Mus musculus: one gene and its partner. Each later gene encodes a partner of the first gene's protein in a complex. Links are inferred from orthologs where the notes say so. Each region holds a gene or a part of one and is shown in the gene's direction. Other genes may lie near its edges.

Region 1 (4,820 bases):
CCAGGACTGCCCTATGGTTCTCCTCTGTCAGTATTGCCCCCAAAGCATTCAGAGGAAAACCAACCACCGAACATCATAACCCAAGAGGAGCACGAGACTCCTGTCCACGTGACTCCACAGACACCACCGGGGCAGGAGCCAGAGTCGGAGCTGTACCCGGAGCTGCACCCAGAGTTGTACCCGGAGCTCATACCTACAGTCGCTCAAAATCCAGAGAAAAAAATGAAAACTCGCCTCTTAATACTGTTGACCCTTGGCTTTGTGGTTCTTGTGGCCAGCATCATTATCTCGTGAGCTGTTCACCAGGAAATTTAAAGGGAGGGTGGGCCTTAGATAAAGTGGACTTGGGTGAAGGGAAGAGACGCAGGTGCAGTGGAGGAAAAGCAGGAATGAGACAAGCTTTGAAAGGAGCATGTCTTTTTTTTTTCCATTTTTTTATTAGGTATTTAGCTCATTTACATTTCCAATGCTATACCAAAAGTCCCCCATACCCACCCACCCCCACTCCCCTACCCACCCCCTCCCCCTTTTTGGCCCTGGCATTCCCCTGTACTGGGGCATATAAAGTTTGTGTGTCCAATGGGCCGGAGCATGTCTTGATAGAGGACTTGGGGGTCTGGGTAAGAGGGGGGCTTGAAGACAGAGGCAGGCTTGATGGAAGGAAGGGAGCTGGCGGAGAGGAGGGGCTTGGTGGAGGGGAGTGGCTTGATGGAGGAGTGTAGTCTTGGCTATGGAGAGATTTTATAGAAGGGTGCAGACAAGGGCTTGGATGGACGGATGGATGGATGGAAAGGAAACGGCCTTGTGGAGGGAAGTGATTTGGAGTGGGTCGGGCCTGGGTGGAGGGAGGGCATCCTACAATCCAGTGCTGGCAACAGGACAGGAAGCTACTGGGCACTTTCCTTTGGGGCTCACTTAGGAGGACAAGGCTTATATAAACTGTTAAGTTAGGCTTGGGGGGGGGCGGTTCAGGAAAGTGTGTACTTCACTCAACCTGTGACCTAATGTGGTTCTGTGCACCTATGTCCTGCCCCAGGGTACTTCACTTTAGGAAAGTCAGCGCTAAATTGAAGAATGCAAGTGACGAAGTCAAACCCACCGCGTCAGGATCCAAGTCAGATCAGAGTTTGTCCCAACAGATGGGATTGAAGAAGGCCTCTCAGGCAGATTTTAACTCTGACTACTCTGGAGATAAGAGCGAGGCAACAGAAAACTAATAAAGATTTGTATTTGACTTACTTTTGGGGACTGGTTCTGACTTCTGGCTCCAAGAGAGGAGATCTGGATGTGCCCTCCCCCGCCATCTGAGGGAGTTGTAGCTGGAACATGGGACCTCCCTTTCTAGGTGGCCCATGAGTGAGTGGTGGGCCCAGAATCAAGGCGCAGGCCAGGGCCAGCCCTGCCTCATCTCCTCCCCCAGGCCTGGTCTCCTCACAGGACGCCCCCTCCCCGCTCTTCCTGCCGGGTTTCCTCTTGCCTTTTCCTGTCCCCCACCCAGTGCTGGGAGCTTGGGCAGAGGAAAACACTTTACAGAGGGACTGGGACTTAACGGAGGCCAACAGCACCAGGGCCTCCGGGTGCTACGGGACCCGAAGCAGGGTAAGAGCCACAACAGTGACTCCACCCATCCTGGGACCTAGGAGCTCATTTCTTTGCCCCTCTTACTCCCTGGGATTCAGGAACCAGAACTGATTCTCTCTTCCGTAGCTCCCCACTCTACCCCACCCCACCCGACTGTGGCCTTAGGACTTGGGGCCTTCCCCTCTTCCCTTAGGGCCATGCTATCTGGTGAACGAAAGGAGGGCGGAAGCCCCCGCTTCGGGAAGCTCCATCTTCCAGTGGGCCTGTGGATCAATTCCCCAAGGAAACAGCTCGCCAAACTGGGGCGGCGCTGGCCCAGCGCTGCCTCTGTCAAGTAAGTGGTCAACCTCTATGGTATGCCTGCCATTTGTCCCTGTTTATCACTGGGTCATGCCAGCGACCCTACAAAAGTGGGCAGTGGTTCCTGTCCTAAATAGACAAGCGAGCTGGGGGGTGACAGTGGAACACAGTGACGTCGAGGCACAGGGAGAGAAGAAGTGGGCACTGGGATGGAACGCAGTACACATCCCCTCTCTCTGTTCACCTATTTCTTACCAAGGGTCATATCTTTATTAATTTTATTACCTATCTCTCTTATCTCCATTCTTCCCACCGCACACCACCATCTTGGTTTTCTGCTCCCATCCCTTTGTCCCTTTTCTTTGGTTCTTTGTCTCTGACTCTTGAGTTTCTGTCCCTCCCCCTTTCTCGGTTTCTCTGTGTCTTTGGCCCCTCTTTCTGGGCACTATCTCTGGGTGTCTCTCTGTGTCTCTGTCTCTCTCTGTGTCTCTGTCTCTGATTCTCTCTTCTGTGTCCTCTCTGCCCACTTCTTTCTCCTCAGGTCCTCGTCCTCCGACACGGGGAGCCGAAGCAGCGAGCCCCTGCCGCCGCCGCCGCCGCCGCCGCACGTGGAGCTGCGGCGCGTAGGTGCGGTGAAGGCGGCGGGGGGAGCGTCGGGCAGCCGAGCCAAGCGCATCTCGCAGCTGTTTCGGGGCTCAGGGGCCGGCGGCGCCGGGGGTCCTGGCACGCCTGGGGGCGCGCAGCGCTGGGCCAGCGAGAAGAAGCTGCCTGAACTGGCGGCGGGTGTAGCTCCGGAGCCCCCGTTGCCCACGCGTGCCGCGGTGCCCCCGGGAGTGCTCAAGATCTTCGCTTCTGGGCTGGCGTCGGGCGCCAACTACAAGAGCGTGCTGGCTACGGAGCGATCCACCGCGCGCGAGCTGGTGGCGGAGGCGCTGGAGCGCTACGGGCTGACGGGCGGCCGCGGAGCGGGCGACAGCGGCTGCGTGGACGCCTACGCGCTTTGCGACGCTCTGGGCCGGCCCGCGGTCGGCGTGGGCGGAGGCGAGTGGCGTGCCGAGCACCTGCGGGTGTTGGCCGACGCGGAGCGCCCTCTGCTGGTGCAGGACCTGTGGCGCGCCCGTCCGGGCTGGGCGCGGCGCTTTGAGCTGCGCGGCCGCGAGGAGGCTCGACGGCTGGAGCAGGAGGCCTTCGGGGCTGCGGATGCAGACGGTCAGCCAGGGAAGGGCACAGAGACTTGGGGCGGGACTTAGGGGGCAGTAAGATGACTGGACCCTGGGCGGGAGGTGATGGGGACGTGGCTTACAGGGAGAGGAGGCGGGGCCTGCATGATAAAAGGCAGGGACCTGGGTGAGAGGTGATGAGGGAGGGCTCTGGGAGGTTCTGGTGGCAGGGCACACAGAGTGGGAAGACTCTGGACTGGATGTGCTGGAGTGGGGTGTAATTGGAGGGGAGCGGAGCCAGCAGGACAAAACTGGTGGTGCCATTCTGGGGCGGAACTTACAGGCCGGGTCTGATAAGGGCAGTAGGTAGCATGGTTAAGGGGTGTTAACCTACATGATATATCTTTTATTACTTTACCTTTGTGGTATAGCTTATTTTATTTTAACCAAGACAGGGTTGGAGTTCTAGGTGAAGGTTCAGTGGAATAACGTATATAAATGGCATAGCACATACTTAATAGAGAATAGGGAGGGCTAGAGAGTTGGTTCAGCGGTAAAGAGCGCTGGCTTGCTCTTTCACAGGACCCTGGTTCAGTTCCCAGCACCCACATGGCAACTCACAACTGTCCTTAACTCCGCTACTAGGGGATCTGACATCTTCCCGTAGATATAGATGCAGGCTAAACACCAATAACCACTCAAAAGAATGACAATTACTGTCGTCTCTTCTCTCTCAAGGGAAAAAAAAAACGCCTTTCTGAGCACACATTTCGAGCCACACATTTTTTATCTCTGGTGTCCACGGACAGATGAAGTGGAATCTTTTTTCCTCTTTTAGTGGAAAAACATGTTTATTCGTTAAGCCTCTTTCAGTAGGGAACTTTCTGTGAGTCTATGGACTTCTAGAAAACATTGTTAGGAAGAAATTATTGTTTGCATCTCCCCAGCGGCAGTTCTCACTGTTATTGCCTGGGCCAGTCGCTGACACACAGTGATTGCTCCTAAATGCATGTTAAAAGAATGCATTTCTCAGCTGACAACGCCAAGTTGGAGTCAGGCAAAACCAATGTCCAGAGTTAACAGTCTGTGTTCCTCATCTCCCCACAGGCACAAACGCCCCATCTTGGCGGACCCAGAAGAATAGGTCTCGGGCAGCATCTGGCGGGGCAGCTCTGGCCAGTCCTGGTCCAGGATCAGGATCCGGGACCCCCACTGGGTCCGGGGGCAAGGAGCGATCTGAAAATTTGTCTCTGCGTCGAAGCGTGTCTGAGCTGAGTCTACAGGGGCGGAGGCGAAGGCAGCAGGAACGCAGGCAGCAGGCCCTTAGCATGGCCCCAGGGGCAGCTGATGCTCAGATGGTACCAACGGACCCTGGAGACTTCGATCAGTTGACTCAGTGCCTCATTCAGGCACCCAGCAACCGTCCCTACTTCCTTCTGCTCCAGGGCTACCAGGATGCTCAGGTTAGCACTATCTCCCCTACTCATAGAGCCACATCAGAAGAAACTACAACACCCAGAATGCCCTGGGATGAGGCCCTCTCCAGTATAATGGCCGTTCCCACAGGGTTCCCAAGTAGGAAGCAGCACGGTGGGAGCTGAGGTGGAGTGCAGATGCAAAGATCCCATTTGGGGGCAGGGGGAGGGGGGCGGGTTACAGTGAATGTTTCCTTCCATTCAGAGTTGGAAGAAAACATGGTCTTGGTCAGAGGCCAGCCCATTGTCAGAAGGACATCCCTAGCTAACATCCGTTTCTTGAAGGAAAGTCTGTGTCCTAGGT
Region 2 (4,825 bases), on another chromosome or scaffold:
GTTCTAAAGGTTGAACCTACTACACTCGGACACTTGCTAGACAAGTACTGGATCATTAAGCTATGCCCCCCCCCTTTTTTTAACTTCTTGAGAATCTCACAAAACCGTTTAGGTTGGCTTTAACTTACTCTGTGGCCTCAGCAACCTAGAATTTGCAAGGAGCCACCTCCTGCTCAGTCTGCAGAAGAAAGAGGTGTGCTCTTACAGACTGGCATCCTGAGACCCAGCTATAATTCTTTCTTACTCGCTCACTTAACTCAGGTTAGCGTAGTGGTCACGTCTCCATTTCTCTTCTAGGGTTCGTTAAATTTCCAGAATAATTTGTACAGGGAGGGCCAGCTAAATTGCCTACTCCTTTCAGTACTTTCCTCTCAAGTTTTGTTCATCAAAACCTTTTCCCTCGCTGGCAGTGGTGGCGCATGCCTTTAATCCCCAGCACTCCATACGTAGAGGCAGGTGTATCTGAGATGAAAGCCAAGCTGGTCAACATAGCAAGGTCAGGCCAGCCAGGACCACGCAATGAAGAGAGCGTAATCAGAGCAGAAACAAAGTCTTCCAAACAAAGCTCTGATAGCATGATTCTCATATTAAAGGTGATGGTGAGAAAATATTCTAATTACCTAGATCGATGTAAGTTCTTGTGCTCTTTGGAACAAGTCATTTTTGGACAGAGCTTTTCGGAGTCACATCATAGACTGACATCTATGAGTAATCTATAAAGTCATGAAGGCGCCCCAGGCATGCTCTTCCATGAACCAATTATTTTAATTCTATAAACTGTTCACTTAGGCACAGGCCATAAGCATGCTTTGGAATCCTCCATTCGCGAACTGCGTCTGGCAGGGTAATTTGGACAGCTGGCCCTGCTTAACACACCACAGGCTGAAATACTTGTCAAACCTAAAGAAAGGCCATTTGAAAAATGAAAAGCTGCCCTCGCGCTCTGGGAGTGGGAACTGCTGCTCTGTTACTTCCCCAGCACAAAGGACCACGCGAACACCGACGGTCTGGGGGCGTTGGCGACTGTGCACTCGGAGGCCCCGCGAAGGCGTCAGAGGTTTCCAAGCCCCTGAGCTCCCCGTTACCCGCTGGGGTCGAAACGGATGCGCTCCGCTGAGGCTGACACCGATTATGTCGGACAGCCCAGCCAGCGGGGGGCGAGGCCGACCGCAGCAACGAGACGCAGGGCAGGGGAGAAGGGCCACGGCCGGAGCCGGCGACCGAGAGCCGGGGCGAGGCCCACTGCGAGGCGAGCACGACGAGACCCCGCCCCCCTCCGCCAGGGCCCGCCTCGGCCCCGCCCCTTCCCGGGCTGCGCTCCTGCGCGCCCCGCCCGCGGGCGGAAGCGAGAGCGAGGCTGAACGCCTGACGTCAAGGCGACACCGCCAAACCTCGCCCAGAGTCAGGCGTGGAAAGCAGCCCGAGCGGCGGCGGCGGCGGCGACGGCGACGGCGGCAGCGGCAGAGACCGCCGTGGCGCCGGGAGCAGCGACCCGAAGGGAACGCGCGGCGACGGCGAGGGCGACGGCGGCGACCCGGTGACAGCGCGAGAGGTGGGCGCGGGGTGCGTGCGTGGCCGCGAGGCTGGCGGGGGGCCGGGCGCCGGCTGAGGGGAGAGGTGGGGTGCGGCGCGGACCGGGCGGGGCAGCCCGATGGCCCCCGCGGCGGCGAGGGTGGCCCGGGCGCGCGGCAGGTGGCTGGCGGGGGGCCCCCCGAGTCCCTCGCTCGCTTCGGCGGGGCGCGCCGCCTCGGGGCGGCCGGGGAGGAACCGCGGCCGCGGCGGGGGAGCAGCGCGCTTTGCGGAAGGGGTCAAATGTCTGAAATATGGCGGAGGAAGTGAGCGCCCGAGGAGCCCCCACCCGCCTGCCCGAGGCCCCCGCAGCCTTCCCCGCCGCGCCCCGCTCCCCGCCTCGGCGGTGGGTGGAAGTTAGAGCGGAAACCAGAAAGTTGTCCTCTGCGGACACCCGGGCTTCTCCCAGCCCGGGGCCGGGCGGGCGGAGCAGCGTCGCGAGGGGGGGCGGGGGGACCACTCCCCGGCGCCCCGCGGGCTCGAGCCTGACAGGGAAAAAGTTTGCCCGGATCGGGGCTGGCTTGCTTCATTTGTTGCGGGAAGTGGCAGGAGGAAGGCAGCGGAGCGAGCCCCACCTAGTCTGGCAGCCGCCACCGTGCAGAGGGAAAAAAAAAATGTTAAAGGGGCCTTTCCTTCGTCAGCAAGAGGAAATCTCTTTTTCTCTTGCAGAGAGAAAAATCCAGGAAGTTTGTCCTCTTCTCCTTTTTTTTTTTTTTTTCTTTTCGCCATCTCGAGGTGTCTGATTCTGAAACTGACTTATCAGCGCCGTGAATTTGGGAACTAGGCCCTCGGGATTTTCCTTGGGGTGGAGGGGGGCGGGAGGAGAAGATGCCTTTGGAAGAAACATCTTCGCTTAAGAGTTTTGAGCAGATGGGATTGCTTTCCTTTCGCTTGCCCCCTCCCACCCCCCAATGCTTTAGAAAGATATTTTGGCCCTGCGACTCTCGACTCGTGTGCATACAAGCACTTCTTTATTACAGTAATAGGAACTCACATTTTTTTTTTTTACTAAGTTGAAAGTTGACATTACGATGCAGGCTGGACTTTTCAATATTTTAAAAATCAATTGAGTCTCGTTGAAATGTTTGCTTTGCTGGCAGTGTGTATTAATATATACCGAGTGCCTCTAGCTTGTAAATTCATTTTTTTTTCAGTTTTCTTTTGTATAATTAGAACGTTGTCGAGACTTGCCTGAAAGGAGTTTATCTTAGCAAGAAGTAACTTAATTGAATGGAGAAATTCTTTTAATTTAAAGCCCTTACCACTCTTAAAGCCTGATATGAAGTCAGTGTATTAAGTCATAATAGAGTCATGGGGCTTTTTAGGGCCGGAAAGAGACTCTTTAAATCATCTGGTCCCACCCTGTCGTTTCATGAGGAGGAAACTAAGGCCTAAAATAGATAACCAATTACCTGAGTCTGCTGATTTGTAAAGCCGTGGTCTATCCATAAAGGACAATCCACAGGAAGCAATGTGACTTTTTTTTTTTTTTAATTGTGAATTACATCTTGGTAGAGATTATTGGTCCCATTATGCTCTCTTCTCCAAGAGTGCCATAGTTAGCTAAATGGTATGGAATACGTCAACCCCTTAGGTAGTTTCATCCCCTGGTTTTGGTTAGAGGAAGTTAATACTCCGAGGAGGAAATAATTTTAACTTAGAGACACAGAATCCCAAATGACAGTCTTGTTTGATATCCATACTTTTAATCTCTGTAGTACATTATATTCCCTTGTACTTTCTTGTTTGACACAGAAGTTCAGTGACCTTATCTGTGGAAGCTGCAAAGTAAAATCAAAAGGACATATAGTTGCTTGTGCTATAATGTATCGAACCTCAGATTAACATCTGAAGGGCCCCATGCTAAGCCGGCTTAATTTTTAGTCTGTGGTCTGGGACACAGAAATGATGAACGTGTCTTTCTTCTTTTTCTGTCTGTCTTACCACTGTTCTTTCCGTGGCTTGTATCACTTCCTGTCTTCTGTTACTGTTGTGTGTGTTTCTCTGTTCTACCAAGTTGTAAGGTCCAAGGAAGGGGTAGATTTCTTCTGCATGCCTCAAATGACTAGCATGTCGCTGTTACATAGACACTCAGATGAAAGTTCAGTAGAGTTCATTGAACACACCATGAGAATAGGAATTCTGCTTTACTCTTAGTCCCTAGCATTTTACCTGGGCACATAGTGATGTTTGGGACTTAATTCAGAGACTAAAGAGAACAGTGTAATCATTTTAAAAAGAATTAAACATTTTCTTTGGGAATCTCTCACTTTCCACGTTGATCATTTTATCATTGGTCATTTATAATGATTCCAGTATTTTCTTTTGACCTATACAGGGAAAGTGAGCCCTCCCACTAAAGAGCCTATAAGAGTAACAAGTTGAAATAAAGAATCCTTTTTAAAAGATTTATTTATATGAGTACACTGTAGCTGTCTTCAGACACACCAGAAGAAGGCATCAAATCCCATTACAGATGGTTGTGAGCCACCATGTGGTTGCTAGGAGTTGAACTCAGAACCTCTGGAAGAGCAGTCAGTGCTCTTAACTGCTGAACCATCTCTCCAGCCCTTTTTGTTTGGTTTGTTTTGTTTGTTGTTTGTTTGTTTGTTTTGAGACAGGGTTTCTCTGTGTAGCCCTGGATGTCCTGGAACTTACTCTGTAGACCAGGCTGGCCTCGAATTCAGAAATCCACCTGCCTCTGCCTCCCAAGTGCTGGGATTAAAGGCGTGCACCACCACCACTGCCCCCTTTTTTTAAAGTGGTGCGAGGCATGGTATTTTGCAGCTGTGATCCCAGCAGTTAAGATTGAAGCAGGAGAATTGCCATAAATTTAAGGCTAGCCTGGGCTAGTGAAACCTGGTCTATAAATAAATATATGAATAACTTGATCTATGTACGTAAAGGTCTTTGAAGAACTTAGTGCTTATGCAGAGATTGATAACATATAACTGTATGTGCTGTTTTACATGTAAAGTCTTAAGATTGGCATGGGAAGCTTATGTTCAGCTCTTAGGTATGTAATAGTTATGGAAAAATTAACGCGTGACAACAGACAGAACTTAGCTGATCTTACGTCCACCTCCCAAGTATAGTTTACATTTGGCATTTTATAATTGAATGTCAAGGAGATCTCATTGATTTACATGTGTCATTCCCAGAAAATAAAGTGTTCAAGGTTAGTTTAGGGTTTATACACTAAATAGTCAAAGACTATTTCTCTTTAAAATGTTAACATATGGTCACTAAAAGTCTG

The links. The genes of interacting proteins can lie anywhere in the genome.
Region 2: the proteins of Rasip1 (region 1) and Rap1b are in contact, whole or in part, in a crystal structure (PDB 5KHO), measured with the Homo sapiens proteins. The link is inferred for Mus musculus from reciprocal best matches to the Homo sapiens genes RASIP1 and RAP1B. Residues at the interface, in NP_060275.2 of Homo sapiens: Val147, Lys149, Ala156, Ser157, Gly158, Ala159, Asn160, Tyr161, Lys162, Ser163, Val164, Leu165, Glu181, Arg182; in NP_001010942.1 of Homo sapiens: Val24, Gln25, Asp33, Pro34, Thr35, Ile36, Glu37, Asp38, Ser39, Tyr40, Arg41, Glu54, Leu56, Phe64.

What each region holds. Positions count from the first base shown.
Region 1 is NC_000073.6:45,625,992-45,630,811, forward strand, and holds the start of Rasip1 (ras-interacting protein 1), read left to right. Parts: upstream 1-1,545; 5' UTR 1,546-1,599; intron 1,600-1,774; 5' UTR 1,775-1,778; coding exon 1,779-1,915; intron 1,916-2,422; coding exon 2,423-3,090; intron 3,091-4,148; coding exon 4,149-4,504; intron 4,505-4,820. Other genes in the region: Izumo1 (izumo sperm-egg fusion protein 1 precursor), read left to right, coding at 32-290, 1,037-1,217. UniProt on the Homo sapiens protein: Required for the proper formation of vascular structures that develop via both vasculogenesis and angiogenesis.
Region 2 is NC_000076.6:117,842,558-117,847,382, reverse strand, and holds the start of Rap1b (ras-related protein Rap-1b), read left to right. Parts: upstream 1-1,408; 5' UTR 1,409-1,552; intron 1,553-4,825. UniProt on the Homo sapiens protein: GTP-binding protein that possesses intrinsic GTPase activity. Contributes to the polarizing activity of KRIT1 and CDH5 in the establishment and maintenance of correct endothelial cell polarity and vascular lumen.